Regions from separate parts of the Mus musculus genome. Here all the other regions are reported to be linked to region 6. Evidence: microRNA targets listed by miRTarBase, many of them from high-throughput screens and not tested one by one. Region 6 holds a microRNA gene; each other region holds the end of a gene's coding sequence.
The links. The annotated mature microRNA mmu-miR-26a-5p reads UUCAAGUAAUCCAGGAUAGGCU and lies in region 6 at 1,615-1,636, opposite strand. An mRNA with a match to its seed (bases 2 to 7 or 8) in the 3' UTR can be bound and repressed. Matches are read on the target gene's strand: a 7mer-m8 pairs with bases 2 to 8, a 7mer-A1 pairs with bases 2 to 7 and ends in A, and an 8mer does both.

Region 1 (4,149 bases), not on the chromosome of region 6:
TTATTTTTTACTTTGATTTTCCAGGGGTTTACAGTTAAGAGATTGCATGAGTCTCAAAGAGACTCTGAACTTCAAACTTTTAAACAATGTTGAGACTATGATGGACTATGAGGGCTTTTGAAGTTGGATCAAGTGCATTTAGCTATCAAATGCATGATAGCTATAAGCCTATCAGGGCCAAGGAGTTTCTACTGTGGTAGTTTGAATAAAAATGGCCCCATCGGCACTAGTATTGTTGGGAGATGTGGCCTTGTTGGAGTAGGTGTGGCTTTGTTGGAGGAAGTGTCACTAGGAGGTGGGCTTTGAGGTCTCAAAAGCTCACACCAGTTGTCTTCCTAATGCCTGTTGATTAAAATGTAGAACTCTCAGCTTTTTCTCCAGCACCATGTCTGCCTACATGCTGCAGTGCTTCCCACCATGATAGGGGACTGAACCTCTGAACTGTAAGCCAGCCCCAACTAAGTGTTTTTCTTCATAAGAGTTGCCATTGTCATGGTGTCTCTTCACAGCAGTAAAACCCTAAGACAGAAGGGTTTGCTATCACCTAGAAGTGGGAGAGATGCAGGAGGACCCAAGTTTGGATCCTCTAGAACTGACATAAATGCCAAACGGCAGCACATGTCTGTACTCTAGCCCTGACGTTCACTGGCCAATCTGACTAGCCAAAGTAATAAGCTCCAAGTTCAGTGCTAGACCCTGGCACAAAACATAAGGTCAGGGCTGTTTCATTTAGCTTCATGATAACCACCTTTGCTCTGGGAAGTAGAGTACATCCTACCAGCCCTCCCCTGAATTTTTTTTTTAACTCAAAGTGATTTTGTTGCTTGTGTACACAAAAGAGACTGTGGACAACTCATATTTTCAATTGGGTGGGTACCACCCGCTTAGTCTTATAGTATCCAGCCAACCAGTGAATTCTGCTATCAGAATCAGGTGGAATTGAGCATCCTTATTCTGTTTCTCTCAAGGAGCTTTCGGACTGCAACTGCTTTTTTTTATCAAATGGGAAAGATCCTCAGGGGCATCAGAGGCAAGGCCTTAAGGATTCTCAAGGTTTTATTTCTAGTCATAAAACTGACCTGTGCCACACCATGAGCCCCTCAGGATCACACCTATCTGGGAGAGAGTCAGGCCTTTGTTGGCCAATTTGTAAATCTGTTCCTTCATGTCATCAGATGTCAATTTCAGCCACATGGCATGCAACAGGGGGCTGGAGAGATGACTTCATGGTCTAAGAGTACTTTCTGCCCTTGTAGAGGACCCAAGTTCAACTCCTAGCACCCATGAGGAAGGTGATTAAAGAAGTCACTGAACTTTGACCTTTTTTTTTTTTTTTTTTTACTAGAGTCTTTTTTTTTTTTTTAAGATTTATTTATTATATGTAAGTACACTGTAGCTGTCTTCAGACACACCAGAAGAGGGAGTCAGTTCTTGTTACAGATGGTTGTGAGCCACCATGTGGTTGCTGGGATTTGAACTCTGGACCTTTGGAAGAGCAGTCGGGTGCTCTTACCCACTGAGCCACCTCGCCAGCCCGAACTTTGACCTTTTAAGTACACGCACACGTGCTATGCAAACACATACCCATACTCCATCCCCAACACCCAAAATAAAAATAATCTAAGAGATGCTGTGTGTTCAGTGGGACATTTTCAGAGAAGACTAAGGTAAGATCTACCCTGATTGTGGATGGCACCATAGCATATACTCAGGGCTCAGATAATAAAAGGATTTGGAAACAAAAAAGCCAGCTGAGCATCAGCCTTCACCTTGCTTCCTGACCTTCCTTCCTGACCAGTGAAACAAACTGTTCTGGTCCTCCCGTGCCCCATCACCATCATGACCTGTACCCCTCTGACCACTATGACCTAACACGAATCCTTCCTTCCTTCCTGAAGCGGCGTCCGTCAGGCATTTTAGACAATCTGGTGTGAAAGTAGCAAGGCAGAGGGCATACAAACGGTATAATTGAAATGCTGAAGTGCATTTATCTTGTGGTATTTGTTTGCTGACCCCAACATGGCAGAGAGATCGAGTCTTTTCTGGTAGTCAGTTTCCATCAAGGTCCATCTATGAACTCCCTTGTAAAAATTCAGTTTTGAAAAGAACCCTGCTAAGTCATTGACATTTTCAAGGCTGGCTACGCCCATGCCTGGATCATTCTACCTCAGGGGCATGCCCATCTCCAGTATTGTCATCACCTGGGAAGTTAATCACAACTGCTTAATGTATTTATTCATTTATTTTTTTGTCATTCCTGGGTAGCATGGGGTTTCTCAGGCCAATTGGGAATAATGTCAGCCTACAGCCCACCTGTGTATGGCCCTTTCTAGAACTACATAGCAGGATTGTGGTCTTCACTGGCAATGTGGACAGGCACTACTGAAACTAGCACTTCAACCTTCTTCCAGTCAGCCTAATATGTAAAACCTGCAAGTTTCTAGAACAGTGGTTCTCAGCGCTGTGACTCCTTTGACAAACCTCTATTTCCAAAAAAAAAAAAAAAAAAATCTACATTATGATTTATAACTGTAGCAATATTAGTTATAAAGTAGTAACAAAAATAATTTTATGGTTTGAGTCACACAGGAGGAACTATATTGAAAGGTCACAGAATTAGAAAAGTTGAGACTCCTGTGCTGAGCGATTTACTCATGTTCTTCTGGACTGTCAAGTTTTGCCAGATATGAGACTTGAGACTGGGTATAACATTACATGTTTATCTTAGCCCTTAGAAGGCTGAGGAAGGGAGATCATGGGCTTAAGGCCAGCCTGGTCTACATAACAGGACAGTTTCCAACAATAATATACTGTGTATTTTAAAAACAGCTAGAAAAGTTCAACAAAGTAATTAAATATTTGAGGTAAGCTTATTAGCCCTATCAGATCATTTTGTAGTATACACATCATATCAAAAACACATTATAGTATAAACATACGTAATTATGTCACTTAAAAACTAGTGGGGCTGGCAAGATAGCTCAGTAGTAAAAGGCACCTGTGGCCCAGCCTGACAACCTTATTTTGATGGCTAGGACCTGATAGGACCAACACTGTGGAACTGAGTTGTTCTCTGAACTCCACACATTTACCATGTACACACACAAAAAGAAAACAATTATCCCAAGCTAGATTCACTAACACATACCTAATCTGATGGGACACTGAGGTGAAATCCGAAGGCTCCAGAGCACCTGCCACCTTTTTCTTGCTGTACCATGTCACCCTGAATCAGTATTTAGTCCCGAACATTTGTCAACACATTACACACTGAAGTCCCACATACACACACACTGAGCTAAAATTTATTTTTAAGAGGTAAAGAAAGTTTTATACAACCTTTATATAAAACAAATATTCCAGACTCAGAATTAAGCACTAAGTTTTCAATATTATAAAGCTGTTTATAACAGGAGTTTTAAGTAGTGGTAACATTTAACCCATGTAAAAATGGCAACAGAATTCAAATCATGACTTGGATCCTCAATGATTCAAGTACCATGGTTTGACTCAATAAGGGTTTGGTCAGTTTTAAGCTGAATTCCTTTGGACATAGTGTCCATAAGTCCTCATTACCGCTACCCATCAATTCACGACAGGATAGCTGGCCGCGGTGGCAAGTCCACAGTGGTTGTCCCGGTCTTTGGCTATTTTGATGTAGCCTTCCATACCCCATTCACTTCCCCAGCTGAAAGAGATCCAAGGAGATATGAGAGAATTAATAGTTTATACTTAAAAAATAGGAGTGCACTTACCTCTGAGGGTTCTAAGATCTAAACATAGAATATATAGAGGCACTCATTCCTGTGGGTCTTCAACTCATTCAACTGCATGGAAGCAGGAGGCAGACACTGCTACCCTCCTCTATCACGCTCTTACTTTTTTTGATATAGGGGTGGCTCACTGAACCTGGAGCTCACAGCCCCCTAGTGCCCAGAACTGGGGTTACAGTTGTGTTATGCAGCCCATATGTGAGTGGTAGGAATCCAAGCATATATAGGTCCTCATGACTGAGTGGCAAGTACCTTATCCACCGAGTCATTGCCCAAGCCCCTCACTTATTTTGAGACAGGGTTGTGTGTAACCAAGGTTAATGCCACCAATTTTCTAAAAGCATGACACTAAGGCCAGTGTTGGGATAACCATGCC
Region 2 (4,149 bases), not on the chromosome of region 6:
TTAATAACGTGTCAAAATTCTTTTCTCTTGTTGAATGTGGTGGCACACACCTTTAATTCCAGCACTTGAAGAGGCAGAGTCAGACAGAGCTCTGTGAGTTCAAAGCCAGCCTGGTCTATATAGCAAGTTCTATGGGCTGCTTAGAGACCCTACCTTTAAAAAATGACCTTAATTACTCAGAATAATAATTAGTAATACCTTTCTGCTAAATGTGCAGTGGTTTCCACTTAAATTAAAAATAAATGTTTAAACGTTGCACATTTTACCCTAACTCTCCCACTGGTGAGAGGGAGCTTCCCTTAGGACACATAAGGAATTCTTATTGAGGAAAACTTATTTGGGTGCAGAAGTAAGAACTGAAGATTTTAGCTGGTGGTAGCAAACAAGGTGAAGGAACTAGGTATCTTTCTACCAGAGATGAGTTAGATACTCTGCAGCAGGTGTATGGGAGCATGCCACAGTCCCAGCCCTGAGCAGGCTGGAGCAGGAGGATGGCAAGCCACCGAGAAGAGAAAAGAAAGACTACGCTTACATACACTGGTACACAGTGGTTTCTAAGACGTGGGTACAAGGTCAGCGAGAACGTACTCACTTGCTCGTTTCCCACACATTGACAACTTCAGTCATTCCTGGTGAAATACGTAGGCAACCAGTTGATCCTGGAAGAGAGAATTAAAGGTTGGAGTGAAGAGAAAGATTAATTTTTCATTGCACATTTCTATGTTGTTTGCATTTTTAAAGCCATGTACTTTTCAAAAAACCTGATTTTTTAGAAAAAGAAAAAAAGGAAAAACTTGTTTTGCTTGGACTTCCCTGACAGGAGTGATCGACACAGGAACTGCCCCATTTGTCGCCTACAGATGACTGGAGCAAATGAATCATGGGTGGTGTCAGATGCACCCACTGAAGATGACATGGCTAACTATATTCTTAACATGGCTGATGAGGCAGGCCAGCCCCACAGGCCATGACTTGGGGAAGACTTTCTGTTGTTATTCTGAACTACAAATACACTGTTGTCGTAGAGGAGAAGGGGGGGATATTGTGGCACACACAGAAATATCAGTTTTCCCACCCTCTTATTTTTGCTATTCTGGTATGTCCCGTTCTTAAATAAACTCCCATGTCTTCCATGTATGGTGGGCTACAGTTTGCTACTGTTTAGCCATATTTCCCACAGTCCACCTATTCTATGTTGCTCTTGAGCCCTTTGCTACAGATAGCAGCAATACTTGACACTACTGCTTTTCAGGGAGGGAGGGACTGTTCTGGCATCTTTTTAGTAGGTTTAAGTTTTAGAGTGTTGACAGTTGTAGCCATCTGAGATAAATGACTGAAACTAATGTCTCAGTTGGAACCTGAGGTGTGTGTGCTCTGCCCCCTTGTGGTTCATTATGGATCCTTCAGTACTGTGGCCCAATTGCTTCCTGATGTTATGTCACTTTTGGCCTTGGGTTCTGGAACTACTTATTCTTTATGTTGCCATGATGCAGCACACGGATTAGGACTGTCTGGTTGGAACTTTGTCTCGAAAATGGACTGTACCGGAGGGATCTTCATGGCTGCTTTAGAAAGGCATCCCCGGACCTGGATAGGTGCCCGTTGGATTTTTTCATAATGCCCATGAAGCTTGAGTTTTCAGAAGGATTTTTTTCTTTTATAGAAACACACATTTTATATTTCCAGATTCCACAGAGGCATCCAGTCCTGAGCCAGACAGCGTTTATTTTAGGTAAAGACGCCTTTCTGAGGCTTCGGTTTCCTCAAATTTCTCAGATTAAAAGAAGAGGACGATCAGGTAAACCTCCTCACCAAGCAGTTGTAAAACCCTAAACTCCAGACCTTGATTGGCTTTCTTCCCATTTCTCTGCACTATTCAGGCATCTAGAGAGAGAACCGTGACAGGAGTGCGGCCTCAGTGACAGCCACAGTGGCTTATGGAGGAAGAACGTTAATGCTAACAGTGCAGCCTATAAAAGTGCTAGTGCATGAAATAAGTCCCCTGTAAGAAATGTTAGCGTTCCATAGAAGTCTTCTCACAGATTTTTGGCAAGTTTCAACTGTCCCTGTTTTCCTAAGTATAGATGTACACAATTGAAGTTACTGCTTATTGATTTTTGATTCAGATTTTAATGAATATTTAAATAAAATCCCTTTCAAAGAAAAAGATCTGACTTGATTCAGATTTTAATGAATATTCAAATAAAATCCCTCTCGGGGGAAAAAAAGGTCTGACTTGATTCTGCCCCCAAATACTGAAGACATCAATAGTCCATTCACTGTAAGGACAGGGCAGTGACACCAAATGGCTAAGCAGTCTGCCGAGCATGCGGGCAAGCACAGTGCTGTTGTCTGTCATACCTTAGCTGAGATGGTTTCACAACCCCGAGAAAGTCTTACTCTGTTGTAGGTTCTTATTGAGAAACTCAGATTGTATTTGTGGTTTTCAAACATTAGCATTTCAAGTAAGTTCTGAGAGCCTATTCACACTGAGTGCACACACACACATGCTACCCCGTTATAGAGAAGCTACATATTATTAATACAAGTTTCCTTACACAAACCTTAGTGTGATCGAGTTTAAGTCAGTATATGAAAATGTGAAAATGTATTGGTGATACAGTTACATTAGAATTTGTAAATGAAAAAACCTCTGTTTTGTAAAAATAATAACAATTCAGGGCTAGAGGTGTAACTCAGTTGGTAGAGTGCTTACCTAATATATATAAAGCCTGGGTTCCATCCCAGCACTGCGTAAAAACAGTGATGCTGGTGCACCCCTCCTACCCCAGCACTTGAGAGGAGGAAGCAGGAAGACCAGAAGGCCCAGGTCATCCTCCATCACAGAGTGAGTTCAAGGATAGCCTGGGCTACATTGAAATGCTGTTTCAAAAACAATTGGGATGGCTAGGCTAGAGAGCTAACTCAGTGGTTAAGAGCACTTACTGTTCTTGCAGAGGACCAGAGTTTAATCCCCAGCACCCACATTAGTGGTTTACAACCACCTGTATCTCTCCAAGGGCTCCAACACCCTCATCTGACCACCTAGGGCACCCACATGCATGTTACACACAGAGAGACACACTAGCAAAACAACTTTAAAACATTTTAAAATTCATATTCTGTCATATTCTGTCAACTTTCAAGTGCTCCATAGAACACATTCTCTAAGCCTTGGAATGAGTGATCTTCTGAGATGCTTTCTAGCCCTAAAATTGTCCTTTTGGATTTTGACTTGCTGGGTTTAATTCAAATTGTCTAATCTTAAAGTGTTTCAGAAATTAATAACATAGCTTTAGGGGTTGGGGATATTTCCAGCAATAGCCAATACCTCTATTCCCCAGAATCCTTCATTTTTGAAAGAATAGAAAGTGAGTCCAGTGACTTGATCTTGCCCACTGCCCTTTATTTAAAGTGTGATCTCTGGGATACTAACTGGTCTACTGTGAAGCGTCAGTGTCTCCAACTGCCTTATCAAGTAGTAAGCAGAGTTCTCTATGCATTCCATTGAACTGGGTGGTGACTCCAGATGTCAATAGTAGGTAGGGTTCACCATAGGATCTAATCATAAATTTGTCTCATGAGTAAAATGTATACTTTTTCTATTCTGTACAGCTTTGCCTTTATAAAATAAGAACTACATAAATACATTTACCATGGTAGGAAATTGTGTGCCTTCAGTGATGTGCAAATTGCCTCCTGCTTTAGGGAATTGTTGTAAATTGTATGTTAGTGCTGTGCTCACTCAGTAACAGCAGGTTGGCTCAAATGCTGGAAACGTTGGGTTTCAGAAAGAGTTTGACTATGTATTGATGTAAAGGCTGACAACAGCAAAGCCTGTTTTATTCTTAGGAAAAACTGATACAATGTGCAATAAGTAAACTTTGCAAGTGAACATTAGCTAACTAAAAACGTTTGCTTATGTAATTTCACATTCTTATATACTAAATATTTATATTTATTAGAGGACTGTTTTGTATTGTGCTCTGGGGGTTGTGTTGTTTGTGTGCTGTTTTGAGGTGATTTTCTTGTATTAATATACAACTGGGTAATAAGGCTGCTTGGAAACCTTTTTTTGGTTCCCTGATTTTTTAACACTGGGAAGTTGGATTCATTAAAAGATAGTCTGAATAACTTGCATCCGTAGGT
Region 3 (4,149 bases), not on the chromosome of region 6:
ATTCAATTTTGGCCAATTTTTTACTTTTTACTACATTAGGAAAGAAAAATTAGGGATATTATCTAGAAAATAAATGCAACACTTTCTGCCTTTGTTCATAAAGAAATAAATGGCGCAACTAGAGGCTATCACCAGAACTTGGTATGGAGGACCAACTGATAGCTACCATTTTATTGTTATTATACTTTAAATAAAAGTCTCTCTTATGTATTTCTTCCTATAACATACTGTGTGTGTGTGAGTGAACTCAAGCGACCCACCTGCCTCTGCCTCCAGAGTGCTAGGACTAAAAGCACGCTCCAGCATTGCCCAGCTCTGACATAGTCTTAAACGTGTTCTCAGTGTACTTCGTTTTCTCAGAAAGTCTGGCAGTGAAACACAAGAGTGTGCCTGAGGGTTTGTACTTCATAAGAACCGTTCAGGTCTAGATTAAGACTGGCTTCCCATCTGGTGTATGTAACTAACTGCTGGTATCAGTTGTATTAGCTAATATTGCAGATGCTGAAGGACAGGCTCTGTTTCAATTCTGAGCTATAGTGTCCATGAGAATGTAAACATCCATCAAGGGAAAAGAGCTTACCATCAGTTAGTTGCCTAAAACTTTTTGTTTTGAATTTAGTAACATGTAAGAGAAAATGCCTACTATATTGATTTTCTTGATGATAGATAAGGCCACATGAATGTAGGCAAATGGTCAATAGTTTTATTTCGGCATTTACTAACGTCTTAAATATAATCACATATAAAACAAACATTTCAAAAGTGCAAAATATCAGCAAGGTTATCAGAGCTACTCATCGTCCCTTGCAGACAGTCTCCCACCAACTGTGCTGCCAGAATCACAGACAGAATCACAGACAGAATGCTGTCACCCTGGAGTTTAGAAACAGCCTTGGTCAGGAGATTGTGCATGATAACAGACGACGCAGTGCAGGTCCACACCCAGGTCCCTTGCCACCACACTGCCTTGTATAACACTCAGCGTGGTCACGTGTAAGTACCGGACTGCGGGAAGAAGCCTTTCTCAGTGCAGGGGTTTATCTAGCTCTCCAGGGCCAAGCTGCCCATCTTTGGTCACAAGAACGCACTCTTGGTTGTACTTTGGTTTACTCTTAAGTAGTAATGACTCTGCTAACAAGAGTAAACAAACCTCAAGACAGCAATTGACAAAACTTACTTTTTAGTATTTAATGAATATACTACTTAATTCTCAGGTATTCTTACTCAAGACATATTGTAGAAAAAATAAAGTATTCCATATACCTGGAACTCCTTAGTAGCTTGCTCATCCAGTATTACCCATGAGCAGGAAGGCAGGCTGGGCCTGACGTACCATGCTTGCCTCTCTAACGTCCAGGGCACAGTGCTTCCCTCCCTTTGCCTGTCTGTAGAGGGCACTGCCATCTGAGGGTTTCAGGGCATGTTATGTGCAGTGCCTCTGGATACCATGATAGGTTTACAAAACAAGGAAAAAAACCAAAACACAGCTCACCTCTCCTGCCACTCTATAGAGACCTGTGGAAATCAGAGGAGCTAAAGGGCAATCGTGAGGAGGACAAAGATGACGGCACATGCTAAGGAAGGGAACACTTAGTGTACAGTCACCCTTCCTCACGATCAATGTGCCTTGAGTTATCCAGATTCAGCTCCTCAGACCCTGTAGACAGGGTTTTCCTTCAGAAGGTAGCCTAGCTTGCATGCTCAAATCCATGACTGCCAACTGTAATAAACAATTTGATGGTACCTCAGAAAGCAGTGACGCAGCCGGGCGTGGTGGCGCACGCCTTTGATCCCAGCACTCGGGAGGCAGAGGCAGAGGCAGGCGGATTTCTGAGGCCAGCCTGGTCTACAGAGTGAGTTCCAGGACAACCAGGGCTACACAGAGAAACCCTGTGTCAAAAAAAAAAAAAAAAAAAAATGTGACATTTATGTCACATACTTCCTTTACTCAAGTGGAAGGAGCAGGTGACTTAAATCGGTGCTACTAAAAGACTGCATTTACAACATGAACAGCAGGGAAGGGCCATGTAATTTCAGGTTGACCTTCAAAATAAGTATTACCTAGTAATGTCCTCAACTTCACCGCTGGCTTGGAATACGGTGTAAAAGAGCAGGCACACAGTTAATACAACCTTCAGGGTTGCAGAAGCTGAAGCAGTTGTAAGGACCAGGACCAGGACCAGCACCAGTGGTTCTACAATCCACTCACGTAACAGTGTTCAGAGCAAACTGTGCTATTAGTAAGCTTCTGTCTGATCTTCATATAATCCAGGAAAGAAAAGCTGGCTCAAAAGCCAGCAGCTCTCCCAAATGCAGTGATGCTCAGCCCTCCAGCACAGAGAACACACAGAGGGACGGGACCCCTAAGTACCTCTACATCTTATACTCCCACCCGTAGTGTTGGTAAGGATAAGGAGTAACCCCCCCCAAGCCCCCTAAACAGATATTCATTCCCATGTAAGAAACAAGGAAGTGCTGCTGTTAAAGCATTGGGATATGTAAACGCCCTAGCCACAAAACCTGCTGAGCGTCCATACAGAACAGTGAGTGCCCCTCCGCTTTCCAGTAGTCTCCAAAGAGGGTTCTCTTGGGAAGATCCCATGGAGTAAGGCAGGCAGCATGCAGGACACAAGGTAGCTGAGAAGGAAGCTGCAGCAGCAAGCGTGTGGGTTTTCAGGACAGTCTCCCTCAGTGTCCATCTATGGGAGAGGGGGGGAAAAGGTCACCCAGGGGAACCAGCCACCAGAGAATGCCACTGTCTAATACAGACTTTCCAGGTTCCTGTCTGGAGGCTGGGTGTGGTAACTTGGGATCCCCAGCACAAGGTAAGATGTACACCAATCCTTTTCTGAGTGGGCTACTGGACACTTCCTGTGAATTTTAACCAGTGTCCTCGAAGTGAGTTTTTCTTGAGGTTCCAATGTTCCTTATAACGTGTAAACACTTCACTGCATTGAAAACTTACATTAAGCAGCCACAGATGGGTCATGTTTACTGTAAAGGCTGATCAAGGAAGACACCCTGGGTTTGGTAGATCTCTTTGAGAACCAGCAATACTGTATCTTCAGATTCCCTGTGTAGAGAAAAACTTACGTTGAGAAAAGACAAAACCATTTGACACCATATGCTTTTCATGTAATCTATACAAATACCTTAGCTTTTTATTAATTTTTACTACTGTAAAAATATGTGCCTTAGAGGTCCATTGCTAGTGGTTTGGAGGTGGTCTGGAAACAGGAAGAGTTAAGGGTCCTGGCACCTTCCCTCATAAAGGCGGTAAATGACTGCTTGAGGCAGGTCTCACTCTAACCCACGCTGTGCCTGCAACTTACTCTATGGCTTAGGCTGGTCTTGAATTCACAGAAATCTTCCAGCCTCAGCCTCTTGCCTCAGGACTACAAGCATAAACCCACTCTTAGCTCCCAGAGGCATTCTTGAAACAACAGGAGCAGCTGTCTGCTCATCACCTTCATTTTTAAACTTTATTTGCTTTTTAGAAAAGGCAATAGGATTGTATGACCCAGAATTTCCAATGTATCAGATGGGGGTTAGAGAGCGGCTAGACGGCTGGCTGAGCGAGAATGGGGTCTGAGTCTGGAACACAACACTCACATGAGTAGCCAGGCTGCTTAACCTGCTCGGATAGTTAACAGCACAGTGAGGGGCTGAGACTGGAGGATTGCTGAGACTTCCTGGCTAACAGCCTAGCTCAGGACTCTGTCTCAAAGGAATAAAGTAGAGAATGACAGAGCAGGATACTCAGTGCCCTCTGGTCACCTCACATGAGCACATACGTATTCATGCGCACACATATAACCCATACAGAGAGAAAAAAATATGTGTAATATGCATATTTTACATTTATAACCACTTCCTAGTTTAGAGTCCTTTTCCTCTCGTCCTGTCTCTCCTAAACACCAGCTTGAGACTCTCATCTTTCTCACTCTGATACCCCTCCACCCCGAGACGTCCAGCAACTCGCAAACTTCCACTGCGGAGCCTTGCTACAGTCTCTAGAATTTTCTCATTTTTTTGGAGACATTTTGCTATGTGACCCTGGTTGGCTTTGAACTTGCACATATCTTTCTGCTCCAGCCTCACAAGTGCTAAAATTATAGACAGATCCAGCTAGCTATCTTGTCTCAAGCT
Region 4 (4,051 bases), not on the chromosome of region 6:
GGGAACCTTGTACCTCAACCAGTCAGCCAGGTCCACTCCAGGACTCCACTATGTATCCACCCCAGCACAGTCATATGAACATAGATGTTCAATATTTTCTAAAGAAATCCCAGGGTCAGGGTTCAAGAGAATGATCAGGCCGAACGGGAGTTACAAGACAGCACTCAGTTCTGTACTGCAGTGACAGTGGCACATCACTGTTCAAGTATCCTGGTTTGTCTGGGTGTGGTGGCGCGGGTGTCAGGTTAGTAATGGGGAGGCTGTGGCAGAACAATCAAAAGTTCAAAGCCAGCATAAATTTCACCAGATTCTGTCTCATAGAAAGGGACAGCGAAATGCCTCATCACAGGGACCAGAGTTCAGACCTCAGCGCACACATCAGATCATAAAAATCTCTTAACTTCAGCACAGAGGGATGCAACAGCCTCTCCTGACTTTCTCCAGTGCCTGCACCTAAGTGCACAGACACACACACATACAAAATAGTTAAGGGTCTACAGATATAGCACAATAGTGAAACACTCGCATAGCACGTGAGGCTCTTGGTCTACTGTAGCACCAAACCCAAAGATGCTAACAAGAATTATCAGCTGCAAGAAGGAAAAACAGGACCTCCCCATGTCTCTCTATAAACCTAAAACTGCTCCAGGCGTGGTAACACCATGCCTGCATTCCATGCACTGGGCAGGGTGTGGCAGGATTGGGAGTTCAAAGCCAACCACAGCTAGTGAGTTAAACTATCTGGCAGGCTCTGACTGCTCTCCCAAGGGTCATGCATGAATTCAATTCTCAGCAACCACACGGTGGCTTACAAGCGTCTGTAATGGGATCTGAAGTCCTCGTGCGGTGGGTGTGTCCGAAGACAGTTACAGTGTATTTACTATATATAAAATAAATAAAACCTTTTAACCACTGACACCTGAAACAATGTCTCAACAGGGCATAAAAATAAAACATGGACTCCATGAACATGTGATATCTTGGATTAGTTTACTATGATATATAGGTATTACTATACCTAATAATTTTTATCCTGCGAAGATAATACAGATGTAAGATGAAAGCATTACATCTAGATGTTTGCTTGGGATACCAATGCCAGAGCAAGCAAAGGGAACCACAGGCAGATCAAGGAAGTTTTCTGAGAAAAACAAAAAACCCAAATGTGTGTAGCATAGGCAAAGTAAAACCAGGCACAGTGATATACATCTGTGATTCCAACACCTAAAAGCAGGATTGGTTGTTGAACATAGCATGTTTGCAGCCTGCCTAGACTATAGAGAGCCTGACTTAAGGGGCTGGAGAGCACAGAGGATTGGAACAAATAAAGCATACAGAGTGGCCAATGGTTTATAGAAGATTAGTGCTGGGAAACTGCACCTCAGAGCATACTTGCTAAAGTTTAGAATAAAATGACAAGTGAAGCCAGGTGCAATGGGGTGCCCGACAGTCCCTGCTATGAAGTCTGAGGCAGAGAACAGAAGATCATCTGAGCCTAGGAATCAAAGACCCTGTCTCTCAAAATGGGGAAGGTTCATTATCAATGATGCTCCACTCTAGGGGGCCTGGAGAATTGCCCCACCCTCTCTGGATCCTCACCTGACCCAGTGGGAACTGTTGTTTCCTGGGTGATACAATGAACCCACCCAGCTATCCCTGGATCAAACTGAGGCTTGCTTCCGGTGCTGAGCAAGCCACCACACCACCGGCACCGTGAAGTACTACTGGACTCAATCTGGCTGGGGGACACAGGCAACCTGCCCAGACAGACCTGAAGGCACACCCGGCTCCTGGAGGGACAGTGGCACCCCAGGATGAAATTGACACCACATAAATAATTCCAATTTTTATTTTCTTAAACTGATATGACACAGTGAAACACAAAAGGGGGAGACTCACAAAATTCATCTTAAAATTGACAGGCCTGAGCACTGCTTTCATGAGCAGGTTTGGCTCATACCACACACAGCCAGCCACACACACACACAGCCACCCAGGAGCCTTTCAGGAACCAGGTGGTGGGTCAGGAATCCCTGCACTAGCCTCCCTGGTGGCTCTGGGTTCCAGTTGGCCACAAAGCAATAAATACAACATGTTACATGCAAGGGAGGTCATAGGGTGACTAAGGAAGAGACTGGTCTTAGAGATCTGCTTTCTTGTACAACTCTTGTACAACCAAGCACAGTGGCAATATTTCAAGTATTGCAAAGAAAAACGTGTGTGTGTGTGTGTGTGTGTGGCCTATAACTCTGAAACCCCACATCAGCTTGTGGACACTCAGATACTTTCAAGTATGCATGAACAGAGCCGTGACAAAGGACTGGCAGGTCAGGGAGGCTGGGAAGGTATTAGCATGTGTCCACCCTGGAGCCTGGAAGACGAGCTTCAGCACAGATCCTGAAGGCCACCAAGCACAGGAGCCAGACTGACAGGAAAGCTCCACAGGGGACATGTTTGCATATGTTATTCTTCACCCACACCTCCACTGCACAGGGAGGACGGCACCTGGGCACTGCCTTTTCTGCCGCCCTTCCAGGGAAAGTTAATAGAGATAGCCAGCAGCACACTCGCTCTGGCACATGCTACAGCCTCAGCCACACAGCGGGCACCGTCTCCTACAAGGACAACATCCAGTGTGATACCTGGCCTGCCCTGCCTCCGCCCTTTCAATCCTTAAACATCTGAAGTTTCCTTTTATGAACAAAAACTGAGTTGGGAGGGTGGAGACACATCTTAGGAGTAAAGTGTGGAAGTTGAGGAGTTTTAACAAGCATGGGTGGTGCTTCACACAATGAACTGTCTGTCCCTAATGAACATTTAAACGTGAGGACTATCTCTCCCTCAGGAGGCAAGCCTGTTGCTTTCCTCCAAAGACCAGACACAGGAGGAGGTGAACACTGGGCTTTTTATACACAAAGATGTGGTCTGCATCTATACAGCGTCTTGGAGGACGAAAGCCAGGAACAGGAGGCAGGTTCCCAGCAGTCTGCACTGCTGGCTAGGTTCTCCAGTCTCTGTATGCATAAAGTGCTCCGGTGACTTACAAAGCTGGGTAAGTAGTCTCAGAGGGAGAAGTTCCTAGAGAGAACAGGGGGCCAGAAGACCATACCCTTTTTTCTTGGACAAGCAATGGGGCAAGTGAACTGTGAGGAAAAGCTTGCTTTGGCTTGGAGTCAGCAACGGTCTCAGGCCCTTGCCTGACACAGGGCTGCCATGGGCTCTTCAGGTGGCAGGTGCCACTTCTCGGCACCATACCTGCTTGCCAGGGAGCCAGCTAGGAAGAATATGTTCAGAAACTCCTGTCCCAGTGGGCAAGGGACCCCTGGCACTCTGATGTCTACCTGCCAGCAGAGACTGGCAGTCTAGGAAGCAAGAGTTGCACCAGTCTGCACAGGTCCACTGTGGAGCATCCCTGCTGGAGTTGGCTGGCAGCAGTCTCAGCACCATCGGATCTGATCAGTGTTGAGGACAGTCTGCCAGGTCTCAGACCCTACCCTGCAGGTTGGCAGCAGGTAGTCAGGCATAGACACCACTCAGCAGGGCCGAGAGTCTCCTCTCAATGCACAGCTTGCCTGTGGAGGAGAGAGCATGAGACAGGGAGGCCACACCTACCACCCCCACTTAAGCTCCGGAAAGGCACTCACATTTGGCAATGTTCTCAATGTCTGCCTGGTCCGTGAGAGTGTGCTGCAACCCCTCCAGCAATAGCAGGGCTTTGTGATATCTCGGTACACAGCCCTCTCGGTGCTGGAACATCTCATCAAGGGCAGCTGATTGTACCTACAGGCAACAGCAAAGCTGGGCAGGGCTGGGGCACGACAGGGGGCCTGACTGCTCAGCATACTGCGGATTTGCCCAACTTCACTTGTAGTTGTGTTGTGAACACAAAAGGTCTACGGAATTAGCTACAGATGCTCATCCACATGGCCTGCCTGCACAGTGGGCACTGTGTTGTCTGCTTGGTCTGTACACAACCCCTCCTCCAGGGGGAGCAAAGGGGAAATGCTTGCAGAGTGCTAAGCAACCACCCAGTGCCATTCCTACCACTGTG
Region 5 (4,149 bases), not on the chromosome of region 6:
TCTCAGGAAGCTGTATCCTGACTTCCTGCTTTGTCCCTGCCGTGCCCCAGGGCTGGAGCAGTGCCTACTCCATAGAGTCCGTGATCATGCAGATCAGCGCCACGCTGGTGAAGGGGAAAGCACGGGTGCAGTTTGGAGCCAACAAAGTAAGGACCCTGGGACTGTGAGAGCCAAGTACAGTTTAGGCCACCAGCCAGCTAAAGCTGCCTTTTAGGGTCAGAGGATAAGGCCCCTGAAATGGAGGGAGGGCATTGGCCCCAGGGGCATCCTCAGATGTTGGGGTGGCACAGGTCTGGGAAGAGATATCATGTGTGGTGTGTCCTCAAGGTCTTCCCAGGCAGAGATGGTTGGTTCTAGAAGCTGAGACTCCTGGGCCCCTGGGTGACAGCCTGCAGGTGAGGGACAGTAGGTTGCAGATGGCCATGACCTGATCTGATGGTTTTCTCTCCCCAGTCTCAGTATAGCCTGACGAGAGCACAGCAGTCCTACAAGTCCTTGGTGCAGATCCATGAAAAAAACGGTGAGGCTGGCCCCAGGCCAGGCCAGGCCCCGCTCTAGTCAAGTGCAGAGGCCTTCGTGGTTTCTGAGCCTTACTGTCTCCTGGTCCATTGTCTGCCCAGTTCTCCAGAAGTCTGGAGTACTGTCCCTCTTCTTCCCAAGAAGTAACCAGTAGTGGGGTTTCTGGTAGCCTGGGCACTGTCCTCTGCGTTACCCTCTGCAAAGCCCATCCAGTTCCTGCCCTAGGTGGGCTCACCATTCTCCCTCCCTTACAGTACCCTCCGGGTAAGCCGCCTCCGCTCCCCTACACAGTAGCCTTCCTAGCATATGCTTTCCTGGAACATGGAGGTGTCCTCAGGGATTGATTGGGGCAGGTGAAGTTGGCCTGGGCCTCCCCTCACTATGCTGGTTTGTGTTTTGTTTGTCTGTCTGTTTGTGCAGGCTGGTACACACCCCCAAAGGAAGATGGCTAGCCCTGGAGTCTCACCCTTCCTCCTCCCCAGGCACCACTGGACCAATTACCTTTGAATGCTGTGTTTGGATCTCACGCTGCCTCTGGTTTCCCCCCCTCATTTTTCCTGGACGTGATAGCTCTGCCTATTGCAGGACAATGATGGCTATTCTAAACGCTAAGGAAAAACAACAACCCACAACACACACTGAACTGTCTCAAGTACTCAAGACTGACTACAGACCAACCACCTCGCTGGAACCCTTGCTAGCAGGCATTCTTATAAAGAAACTCTCAAGCCTCCTTATATTGCTGGAAACTCAGCTGTGCTCCAGACTAGAGCCTCCTTACCTATGCTATGGGTTTTTAATTTATTTTCTCTTATTTCATGTACACTGCTTTTTTTGGTTACAGTGTATGATGGATGTGTATGAAAAAATGTATCTTTGGGAAAACAATTACAGTTTGTTAATTTGAAGATGCTGGTCTTGACTCATCTTTATTTTTATTCCCACATCCCCTGACTGCTGGGTGGGGGGAGGGGTGCCAGGCCCACCATGCTTTGGTAGCAAGGAGAAGCTGCAGAGAGGCTGCAATTCGATGCTAGCACAAGAGAAAGGCCAAGCGGAAGCACTCGCCTGATCTGACCCTAGATTTCTCCCGAAGGCCTCTGGAGCAACCAGTACCTAAACTCTTTGGAACAGTCTGGCTTGCTGAACTACAGTGCAGAGGCCCAGAAACATCCTGATTATTAGTACCTCTTTGTACTAATCTCCATTTTTGAAATTTCCAAGAAAAAGATGAGACTTGAGTAGCTGCTTCATGAACTCCTTTTAAGTTGAGTGGGGTGGTGCCCTGGCTCCTGGATGCATGAGGTTTCCTCTAATCCCAAGCAACCTGCTGAGCGGCTGTAACTCACTGGTTCCCTGCCTTCCTGTCCTCTCTTCTCACCTCTCATCTGCTTTATTAGATTATCTAAGAAAAGACTTGAACTTTGGATTCTTTCTAGCCATTCCCAAGTTGTGGGTCTACTGGAAACAGTAGCTCAATGTGGTTGCATTGTGTAGTGGGACCTCGGCTCAGCTCCAGGAACTGCACAGCCGGGGAGAAGTCTGCAGAGCCACAGCTACCAGTGTTGGACCTGCTGTTGTGAGACTGCACGCAGTACATGGAGCCTGCATCTCCCTCTTTGAGCTTGCTGTGGGACCACCTGCCTGCAGACTGGAGGAAGACTGAAGTGACAGAGGCAAGGGACAGCCAAGCCAAGTCCTGGAGCTTAGGAAACCCAGCCCTGGAACAGTTGCCTGGATGTTTGCTAATGCTTCTGAGATGGGCATTCGAGTTTGGCCATCTTCCCCCACTCCCCATCTCTTCTAGGGATTTGAATGTCTTGCTGCTTTAGGGGGATGGAGAGTTCACCAGTCCTACTTGATGCTGCTCTAATTCTGCCTACACCCACCAGGTTAGGGGTGCTAATACATGGTGAGGTTGAGACACAGAGGATACAAGGGGAATAAGTCATTCCATAGAACTGAAATCTATCTCATAGCCTGTAAGGCTTCCTTCTGAACTTAACACCAGCCAGGGCTGGCATGTAGATTGTGTTTTTAGTAACGTGTACTGTGAGCTGTCCTCTGTATAATGTATTTTGTAATGTATTTTTCTCATCTACCAAAGGATGAATCAAATAAAGTTATTTAAATAGTTTGGCTCTAATAAACTTATTTAAAGAAACCATGGGTTCATGTCCACTTGCTATGATGGAAAATGCCAGGTTCTGGGAACTGTGACACCAGCTCTTGACAATCCTCCATTTTCCTTACCAACCCTTTTCTAACAAAATTTTAAGTTTAGGCTTCTTATAAAGTTACATGCATTTAAAGGGGCAGATTTCTTCTCTGCAGTCGGAAAAGCAAGGAATTTGTATCTCTGACCCAGGTAACTTTGCCTGGGTTGTAGCCCACAGCCTAGGGGCTGCTTTTCGGTTTCCATGCCACAGTTTAGAGGGCAGGACAGGGCAGCAAGCAGTAGCCAGGAGAAGGTATCCGTCACCCCAAGCTTGAGCCATGACAACCTTTATTTGCTGGAGTGATGGCTCACTGACTCTACATGCAATACCAAAAAACCTAGGCAAGGGCCCTTCCAGCCTCCCCAAGTCTGCCCCGGCATCCAAAGATGAGGAAAATTTGCTCAGCTGCCTCAGGCTTCTAACTTAATGGAAGCTTACTATTTTTGACTCAAATGTTTATGCCAGTTTAGGAGACTAAAGAAAGACACCTGACAAACAAGATTTTACCCTTAGCAAAGATGAGTAAAGGCAAGACAGAAAGCAACTCCATGCTGGAGCTTCAAGAATGAATGGCTCTTGGGGTAGCACAGGCAGACGGAATGAGCTGGGACACCTCATCAAGGTCTTCACACTTCAGGGCATATGGCTAGATGAGAAGGGAAGTCAGATGGCGGGTGCACACACACACACATACACACCAGTCCCCGATTCCAGGGAGACCCACAGAATCCTGGCAGAGGCTGGGTAGACTCAGGACAGTCAGCTCTCAGAAGCACCAATGATTTCCCCCAGGGATTTAATGGACACCTGGTGTGAATTCAAAATGTCTGCAAAACAAAACACAAACCTTGGGGCAGGTGGTGGCAGAGGAGGGAAGCAGAGGGAGCAGGCTCTGGCGGCAGACCAGCTCCCCAACAAGTCTCTGCTAGCTCCTGGTAACTTCCAGCTCAGGGATGTGGAGGGTGAAGGCTGCAGCAGTGGGAAGCAGGGCTGGGGGCAAGGCAGGAGCAGGCACGAAAAGAGGCAGCCCTGGTCCTGCTGTTCAGACAGTTACAGCTCTCTAAGGAGAACATCTGCTGGGGCTAAAATGTTGTTGCCATGGAAAGAGAGCGCTTAGGTGCTGGAAGACAATGGGGAACCAGACAAAAAGTCACCTTTCTCCAGACCTTGGCTCTGCCCTCCCACCTCCAAACCCTGGGCTATTAGTTAAGAGTGAGACGGGTTCTGATTAGGGCCTGAGGAAGTCCCTCCCTAGGATGCCATTTCTAAGCTATGAAATACCAGGAAGGCCCTTTCACTTTCACCCACTTGACAGGAGGAAGGTGATCCCGTGGGGTGGCTTTCTCAGCGGCTACTGAAGACACAACTGGGCTGGGCACTCGGGCTCTCCTGGCAGCTGTTCTTTGGATCA
Region 6 (4,149 bases):
GCCAGGCCTATGTACGATTTACTGAAGCTTGCACTAGGTTCTGCGTCTCAACCCTTGTAGAGAGAAAGGAAAGCCGACCACGTCGTCAAGGTTCTTGAGTATCTTCGGAGCCAGTAAGCAGAGCACAGCTGTGCCATGTCCAGTCGCAGTTGCTCATGCATCCACTTGGCACTTGCTGAGTCAGCCCCTATGTGGCCACAGGCCACAGCCTAGGTGCTGTCCTTCTGGAAGTCTAGGACTAGCTGCGGCCTCCAACTCTGAACATCCCTGCCCCCTGGGGTTAATGCACTTGAAAACTTTCTAGTGGACACCATGGAGGTCACCCTGCTTGTGTAGGGGTACAGAAAGCACTTCACATGGGTAAGGGGCTGCTTCCCACAGTTGGGCTCTGTGTATCCTTCTGATCAGACCAGACAGGCCTGCGAAGCAGCTGGTTTCACCTAACACCCAGGCTGCAGTCTCTGGAGGCTAAAGGAATGTGTAGGAACTGGAAGAGAGAAAGCAAAGCCAGGGAGAGGCAGTGGGCAGAGGGAGGGACCAATTAAAACTTGAGTAAATTCCACTAGAAGTTAGCTACATCTTTAAAATAAAACATAATTACCAGGTCTCAGCGCTGTGCTCAGTTCAGCTACAAGGCTGAATTGGAGCCCCCAATCCTCTGGAGACTCGTGTGGTGGGCCTTGCCGGCTCAGCTCACTCAGTCTTGAGCACACACTGACAGAAATTAGTGAACACAAGAAATCTCACAGTGGGGTATTCATTCAAGATAATTCTCCCTTCCAGAGGGCGTCTCAGAAAGCAACATCTGGCCTTGACCTTGAATAAAGAGGAGCTCACACGCTGAGAGAGAGAGAGAGCTGAGCCTCCAACCCGAGCAAAGTGTGAACGTGAGGATCGGAAGCGTCACAACACTTGGGTTTGTGTTGGGCCAAAGCCTGTGTCCACAGCCAACCATAGGCAGTGAGAGAAGCCCTGGAGGCTGCTCAGGGAGGAAGCAGTTAAGGTAAAGAGCTAAAGGTAGCAGTAAGCCACAGGGCCTCTAAGGGCAGACAGAGCAGGGGAGGGGGCTGCGGAAAGGGAGAGGAGACACAAGACTGCACCCCATGCAAGGAAAACACACTGCAGGACAGACTTCCTAGATGGAAACACTGCTTTGCAGCATGCCAGGAAAAGGCGCTTCCTAGGGCAAAGACCTGGAGAGAAAGCGGCTGGCTAGCTTTAGGAGTGGGTTGGGGGTCTGGCTCTGCAGCTGAGGGTGGAGAGAGGGGCCAGAGGAATATAGGTGGTCTATCCTGGGTGCCACCAGGATCCTGCTGAGCTGGGGTGTTGGGCTAGGCTGAGGGCAGAGCTGTGTGGCTGTAGCAGCTGCAGGACCTGCTTTGCTCATAACACTCGTTGTTGCTGGTGCCAGTGACTGGGTGTGGCCTCCGGTCCTGAGTCTCCGGGAGGACTGCTTGGCCAGCAAGCTTGGCTACAGGCAAAGGGTTGGAGATGGACGGGGGAAACTCTGTTGTTGCCGCCTTTAGCAGAAAGGAGGTTCCTGGGCCCAGATGCCGGCGTCCAGGCCCGCGTCCCCGTGCAAGTAACCAAGAATAGGCCCCTTGGGACCTGCACAGCCTATCCTGGATTACTTGAACGAGGCCACGGCCTTCGCCAGGGCCTCGGTCCTCCAGCTTTTGTACCTTCCTTCTCTCTGGAGTTTCTGCTCCCAGCCCTGATGCCCGGGGTGTCTACTGCCAAAGAGAAGGGGCAAGGGAAGCCGGGGTGGGTCCTGCACTCCGGACGTGCTTGTGGCCACGTGGTGTGAAGAATTATTTTCTTGGGCAGTCCTCCTGAGCCTCACCTCAAGGACTCTTCGACTTTAGACACAACAACCAGCGCAGAGGTCCTAACTGCATGGCGGGGGTGGAGTTAATTCAGTTGGTGCTTTGTGAATGGTAAGTGACCAGGTGCCTGAAACCTTCCCAGGTCCTATGTCCTGTAGGACAGGATAGAGAGCTAGGTGGGGGTAAGGGAGACAGGGGGAACCAAGTCTAAGGAAAGAGCCCTGGCTTAGGAGTCAGGAAATCTTATCCTGATGATTGTCATATATAACCTTCTGTCTGGGCAACGGAATGGCTAAAACAGCTGATTTCACAGCCCTGGATTGTTCTAAACTGCACTCAAGAGTTAAGGAGCCTTATTGGCATCGTTAAGAAATGACATCCTGTGTGGCCCAGGAACCAGGAAATGTCTGTCCCTTCCTGGGATATGAGGCCAGATACTCTCCCCTTAAGGCCTTGAGTTTGATGGGGGAGACAGTCTGTCCCATCACTCCTAAGAAACATGTGGCAAAACTATATCTACCTTAACCTCCAAGGCGAGCTTTTCTACCATGTTTCTAATGTATTCATAGACGAAGTCATTTCCAGAAGAGCTTGCTGATGACGAAGAAAAAATAAAGAAGAAGCAACTCCCCCAAACAAACAAACAAACAAACAACCCCAAAACAGAAAACCCCAAAAACCGGAAGAAGATTGATGCCAGCTGACGATGACAATTTATGCACAGCACCCTGCTGGTCTTAACACACCCTTCCCCTTTGCTCTGGGTTGAGTATTTGCTAAAAAAGACACTGGAGAAAACCACATGGGCAGAGAAGCTCTCACGGGAGCAGTTGGCATCAAAGTGGACATTTTTCCCAAGAATGCTCCGTCAGTGGGTGACTGGTGGCATTTTCCTGTTGCTAGGAGAAGCCAAAAGCAAATGCATGATGAAGTTGACCAGATGTCAAACCCGGCCAGCGGTGGGGACAACTAGGGGATTGCACAAAGGCTCCTAAAAGTTGAAATCAAATCAGAGATCATACCTAATATTTATTAACAGAAAAGGGTCCTCATAAACACGGTAAAAAGCAAATGCATGCATGAGGCAGAGAATCATTCACAGTATTTTTATTTAGCTTTTGAGACAGGGTTTCTCTGTGTAGCCCTGGCTGTACAAGGACTCGCTTTGTGGACCAGGCTGTCCTCAGACTCAAGAGATCTGCCTGCCTCTGCCTCCATGCCTGGCTTACTATACTTATTATACAAAGTTTGTTTCCTGAAGTTAGAATAAAATGGCCACTGAAGTGAGAATTGAAAAAATGATGTTCCCAGGGAGTGTGGTTACAAGAAAATGCTCTCTGGAACTGCAGGCTAACTCTGGTTCCTTACCTGGTGTATGGTTCCGTCGATTTCAACAGGAACAATGAAGTCAGCATTACTAATGGGCTAGAGAGAAAAGAAATTGTGATTAATACATATGAAAGGAAAGAGAAAATTGGAAATTGTAGCAAGAAAGAAGCTTGCCTGGACCAATGTTTTGACGATGGCAGGAAATAGTTCACAAGGATGCTGGCAGAGGCCTTGGGTCCTTGAAATAAACATGTAGGAAGGAGTATTTCTTCCTGTCCTGAGTGTCCTGGAGTTCCAGCATCTAGCCCAATCTCTTGGACACCTGCCTGCCTCAACTGCAAAGGGTGGCATAGTCTGGCAAGAGAATGGGGCTGCTCAGACTCCAGCCTGGAGCCCAGACAGGATGGGGGACGGGGGGACGGGGACGGACCACTGATGGCCACCAGGGGGCAGAGATGAATGCCTGCTGGCCAGTTGTCACTACCACTGGAAAAGCAATTTGTCCTTGGACTCAGAGTGTGGGCAGCTTGGCACAGGATGCTCAGAGGACAGAGCCACAGCAGGCGGAAAGCCAGATGCCACAGGCGAATATCCTGGGTAGACATTCCCCTCTGGACTTCAGCATCTGCTCCTCAACTGTTATGGTGGTGGGTGCGATGGGTCCCCACGGCTCCATCAGGCCTCAGGCCCTGCCTGGTGGCCTGGCCTGGTTTCCTACTCTGGGATTGGAGGACGGCCAGCCTAACTGCTCTGTTCTAAGAAACACAAGACAGCTTACCTACAACTTCACAGGCATTTAACCTAACCCTTGGTTAGTATTAAACACATTTGAAAAATAAAATATTACCTCAGCAGTCACAGTCATTGAACAACGGGCTCATAAGCAGTTCTAAATGGAATCCCACACGTTAGAAAACTTAACGGAGAGGCTCAAAAGAACTGTCACCCTGCAGACGTTAGGGAAAGAGCGACTTGGGCATATGGTGGCCACCGG
Region 7 (4,149 bases), not on the chromosome of region 6:
GAGGTCTGATGATACCACCCCAAAGCCCATGCAACTTCCTCCTAGACTACCCCATGAGCTTATGAAGCCTCATCGGAGTAAGCAATAGGGGCTACAGTGAATGTTGGTTATGGTAGGGCACTGAACAGTGTGCTCACTTAGACCTCCTGCAACAGAATTTGTATGCCCGGCCTGTGCAACTGAGGATACAGTGCTTTTCCAGTGCCCCTCCTGTGACTTCTACCGCTGTTGGGCCTGTTGGAAACTTCAACTCCAGGTTGGGGTCTAACCCTCTCCAGCCCATCAGGCATCTCTCCAGGTGGTGGGGGCTAAGGGAGCAATGCCAAGCTTCAGTGCCTAGCAGGTATCTCCACAGGCCTCTAGACTGTGTCCGGCTTGTGGTGCTGTTAACAGGAAGCAGAGCATTACACAGGTCATCTGGCCGAAGCCCCAGTGAAGACAGATGGAGCCCTTTGCTTGCCCTGATGTGGTTAAACCCACTGCAGGTCTCATGCTTGGCTGTCCAATGAGATCTGAATCTACTTGTGAAGTTCTGAAACCTCAAATAGCCTATATTGGCATTGCACATGTACCACTGAAGGTGTAGGCTGTCCAATAAAACTAAGTTATCAGGATGGTGTCTGTATTGTGGTCTTAAACTGTGTGTCATGGCAGTGCCAAGTGTGGCACACTATCAATCCCTGCAAAAACAGGATCTCCTGTAGTTCCAGGGCAGCCAAAGCTACAGAAAGACACCTTTTTTAAAAAATATGTGGGAGGATAAAGGTCTGTTAAGATCTTTTCCAGACTTGCAGCATTCTCCATACCAGTTAGCTTTAAGCCAATAAGGAGCTTCCCTCCATCCATCCCCTGTATTGCCCCTTTCATCAGCTAGACACCATTGTGTCCCCACACCAACTATGCACAATTCTGTAGCTTAACCCTCTAGAACACAGCTCCTACTGCAGTGTCAGCTCATCCACAGGGAGCATGAGCATACCACACCACCCACAATCGCTTGTTGCTGCTGCCTAGGCTACTTAACACACGTAGGCTTCTGCCTAGAATGTATGCTTTGCTCACCTTGTGCTTGCATGTGGTGAGACTACGGGAGCTTGGGATTGTAGGGGGATCTCAAGTATTCCCTGACACTGCCTCTTCCACCCACTTTATCAAGCCCCTAACAGCTGGAATACTCAGTGGGGACAGTGCTACCCTCACTAGGATTGCTCGGCCCTCACCTGGGCTTGGCTTTTACCATGTCCAGGTCCTCCTCTGAGAACCAACCAACAGATTTGTAGCTTGTGGACAAGGTCAAGGCCCTGGATAGGCAGCTCCCATATGTGTTAGCCTAAAGGCGATGTTGCTTTTTGATGCTGAAAAGCAGGCAACCCAGTTTCTGAGAGGCCCTCTTTACCTTTTATAATGAAGGGGCTCAGGAGCTGCTCTTTGAATAGGGCCATGTCCCTTGTTTCCATGGGCATTCTGTTCCTGCTTTTCCCATTACCATGTCTAATTTTTAGGGACTTCTCTCTCCTTAACTCTTTAAACTGACCAATCCCTGTCATCCTCAGTAGGAACTGAGGAATAGGAACATACCATCACAGACTTTGTAACACCCCAGGATATTTCCTTTCAAGGGCTGTGCTGGCTGCAGCAGGCACCAGGAGAACAGTGACACTGTAAGCCCTGTAGCCTTATAGTTGTAGCTTTGACAGGAGTGCTCTAACTTTAGTGAAGTTCAGGACCAGGCACCATTGCCACAATTGTTTCAGTTGCTGATGAAGGGTAGGCTGCCCCAGCTATAGAGGTGCTTATGTACAGATTTCCTTGTGACTGGCTAACTCTTTACTGCACACAGGACTTTATTCTACGCTTGCAGTCAATGTCACCCCAACTTTAGACTTCTTCATATTTACTTTTTATAAAGCTAATCATTTCAGCAAAACAATTACTCTCAAGTTGTGGGAAGCTTTCATCCCACTATGCTTCCAAGCCAGCAAGCTCCACACCAGGATGACCACCACCCATAGGAAGGACTATCTGTTCCCTGTCCACCATAAGGTGTCCCAAGGGTCACCCCATGGAACCCTTATTTTCCAGTGTTGACAAAACTGAGTAAAGATGGCCAGAAAGACACCAGTGATATCTTGTACCCTCTGCTAGAGGATATCCCCTTAGCTTGACCATTTTTTAAGCAACCTACTCTTAATTCCCAGGAGGGTCCTCTAGGAATGATTCAACCAAGCTCCTAGACACCTATGTGCAGGACAGTTCCTTGAATCAGTATCTATCCCCTCCTGATTTTAACTTCTCCATTGCCCCTCCCAGGCCCCCATGGGGAGGTTGACCTGACTTGGACAAGGAGCCACTAGATTTTTCTTGAACCGGTGGCTTAGCCACAACTCCAAACCTCCCTGAAGAGAACCCTACTCAGAAGGTACTCCAGAAGAGCAGGTTCTGGCTATAACTGCTAGCCTGGACAATAGGGAACCACCATCTAACTGATTGAAGGGATGGTTAGACAGGCAGCCTTTATTTTAAACATTGTCCTGACCACATGATGAAAATTTTAACCCAGTAGGTCTAGTGGGCATGGCCAGTCCCAGCATAGCTGCTGCCTCCCCAGGAACCTGCACCTTACATGGAACATATACCTCACACACATCTGGAGATATAGTGAAATCTGTGTCCTTGGGATACCACACAACCTGTATATGGGTGTACTGAAACACACACCAGTAAGATCAGCTCTCTCCTTAGGAGATAAAAGCAGACTGAGAATGAGTTAATAAGGGAACTTAGGCTTCCCAGGCAGGTCTACTGAACCCTGTTCTGAGAGTGTATCAGAACCTAGTAGAAAACTCAGTGTGATGCCCACCTGTAATCCCCACAGATATAGGGAAGGAGGCGGAGATTAACTGGGGCTACAGAGAAATCTTGTCTCTTCCACACGTATATCCAACTCCACACAAAACAACTAGGGGCCATGCTGGTCTCAGATGTGGGTTCTTTCTCCAAGTGAGGTAAGCCTTGGCCATTCCCACCTTCTCCATGGGCAAGCTGGACAAAACAGCTAGCTGTCACAGGAACAACCCCCCCCCCACACACCCTTTCAAGTAGGATGACCTCAAATTCCACTTTGAACCAGGCTAACTAACAGGCCTAGGCATGGCCTCATGCCTCCCTGTCCTCACAAGGTTGGGAGGGTTCCAGACCCTGACATGTCTATCAGGCAGGGCTCTAAATCTCTGTCAGGGGATGGAGGTGTAGGGCATGTAGATTTGGATCGTTGGCGTGCCCCATGTTTGTCTCTGAATACCTACACTTTTCCAGACACAGAGAAAAGTTTGTCTTAGAGAAAACATAAAGCAAATAAAAGAATGAACAGACAAAGGCAGCTCAACCCCCAGTGTCAGTAGGATAGAAGCCAGCAGAGAATACTCTTCCAACACTAGGAGACGAACAGTCCAAGACTGAGGTTGGAGGTCCTTATGTGATGTCCCTCTGCCGTGGTGGCCGGTGAACATTCCGCACGACACACTTCACCATCCATTCGATGCCCTCTCGAACTCCTTTGCTGTGGAGACAGTATGTGTGAGACAGGGCTAATCTTGGCCCTGAAGACTCTGCAGAGTAAGACCTCACTCAACTCACCCTGTGAGGGCAGAGCAGGCCTGGGTCAGACAATCTCGCCGGCCAATCTTACAGGTACAGTCACTGAATGCAGTCTTGATGTCAGGAATGGAGAGGCAAGTCTGGCAGGGAAAGTGAGACTCTGAGGAACATTCCCACTTCTAGCTCCATATAGCTTGTTTATTCACTTGGGCTTTCTGGATGGCCATAGTCAATCACCCTAAAAATTCTGTAGGGGTGAGCCTACTCAGGGTTCCTGGATCCTCATAGAAACCAGTGGTCAACACACATGGTCAACAAGTCTACTGCTGATGGCTTTAGAAATCCACACATAGCCCAAGAAAACCTTCCTCACCACCTCCAAGACTAATCCCCAGAACATCTACCAGCAGGACACTGGGAACTAAGTCAGGAGCTCAAATGCCAAGTGAGGCAGGGCCCATGGCCCTAGGGGTGAGAAGCCTCGGTAGTATTCAATGGCTCCTCTGTCCCCCTGTTCATTTAAGAGAATACCCCTGTGTTCCTCAGCCAAGT

Region 1: the mRNA of Ctsl is a reported target of mmu-miR-26a-5p. Seed matches in the 3' UTR shown: 8mer at 3,491-3,498.
Region 2: miRTarBase lists Rnf141 as a target of mmu-miR-26a-5p. The part of its 3' UTR that is shown has no 7-base or 8-base seed match.
Region 3: miRTarBase lists Ddhd2 as a target of mmu-miR-26a-5p. The part of its 3' UTR that is shown has no 7-base or 8-base seed match.
Region 4: the mRNA of Ulk1 is a reported target of mmu-miR-26a-5p. Seed matches in the 3' UTR shown: 8mer at 2,287-2,294 and 8mer at 2,195-2,202.
Region 5: the mRNA of Ube2q1 is a reported target of mmu-miR-26a-5p. Seed matches in the 3' UTR shown: 7mer-A1 at 1,935-1,941 and 7mer-m8 at 2,375-2,381.
Region 7: the mRNA of Arfrp1 is a reported target of mmu-miR-26a-5p. Seed matches in the 3' UTR shown: 8mer at 3,094-3,101.

The regions. Positions count from the first base shown.
Region 1 is chr13:64,360,513-64,364,661 of GRCm38, forward strand. Ctsl (cathepsin L) reads right to left here. Exons shown (of 8, transcript NM_009984.4): 8 at 1,378-3,688. The coding sequence ends at 3,586. Among named protein-coding and RNA genes, the nearest start is that of Ctsl, 7.9 kb to the right of the region's middle.
Region 2 is chr7:110,813,522-110,817,670 of GRCm38, reverse strand. Rnf141 (ring finger protein 141) reads left to right here. Exons shown (of 6, transcript NM_025999.3): 6 at 821-1,136. The coding sequence ends at 971. Among named protein-coding and RNA genes, the nearest start is that of Rnf141, 29 kb to the left of the region's middle.
Region 3 is chr8:25,724,665-25,728,813 of GRCm38, forward strand. It overlaps Ddhd2 (DDHD domain containing 2), which reads right to left. Exons shown (of 18, transcript NM_028102.1): 17 at 2,966-3,073; 18 at 660-2,699. The coding sequence ends at 2,992. It overlaps Plpp5 (phospholipid phosphatase 5), which reads left to right. Exons shown (of 7, transcript NM_028000.1): 7 at 1-223. Among named protein-coding and RNA genes, the nearest start is that of Plpp5, 6.7 kb to the left of the region's middle.
Region 4 is chr5:110,782,656-110,786,706 of GRCm38, forward strand. Ulk1 (unc-51 like kinase 1) reads right to left here. Exons shown (of 28, transcript NM_009469.3): 27 at 3,645-3,780; 28 at 1,834-3,572. The coding sequence ends at 3,517. Among named protein-coding and RNA genes, the nearest start is that of Pus1, 4.1 kb to the left of the region's middle.
Region 5 is chr3:89,781,318-89,785,466 of GRCm38, forward strand. It overlaps Ube2q1 (ubiquitin-conjugating enzyme E2Q family member 1), which reads left to right. Exons shown (of 13, transcript NM_027315.4): 11 at 51-146; 12 at 454-520; 13 at 940-2,680. The coding sequence ends at 971. Among named protein-coding and RNA genes, the nearest start is that of Ube2q1, 9.8 kb to the left of the region's middle.
Region 6 is chr9:119,029,298-119,033,446 of GRCm38, reverse strand. It overlaps Mir26a-1 (microRNA 26a-1), which reads right to left and starts at 1,651; the gene lies at 1,562-1,651. Ctdspl (CTD (carboxy-terminal domain, RNA polymerase II, polypeptide A) small phosphatase-like) reads right to left here. Exons shown (of 8, transcript NM_133710.3): 5 at 3,195-3,251.
Region 7 is chr2:181,356,003-181,360,151 of GRCm38, forward strand. It overlaps Arfrp1 (ADP-ribosylation factor related protein 1), which reads right to left. Exons shown (of 8, transcript NM_029702.4): 7 at 3,637-3,737; 8 at 1,688-3,559. The coding sequence ends at 3,472. It overlaps Rtel1 (regulator of telomere elongation helicase 1), which reads left to right. Exons shown (of 34, transcript NM_001001882.3): 34 at 1-614. The coding sequence ends at 88. Among named protein-coding and RNA genes, the nearest start is that of Arfrp1, 7.3 kb to the right of the region's middle.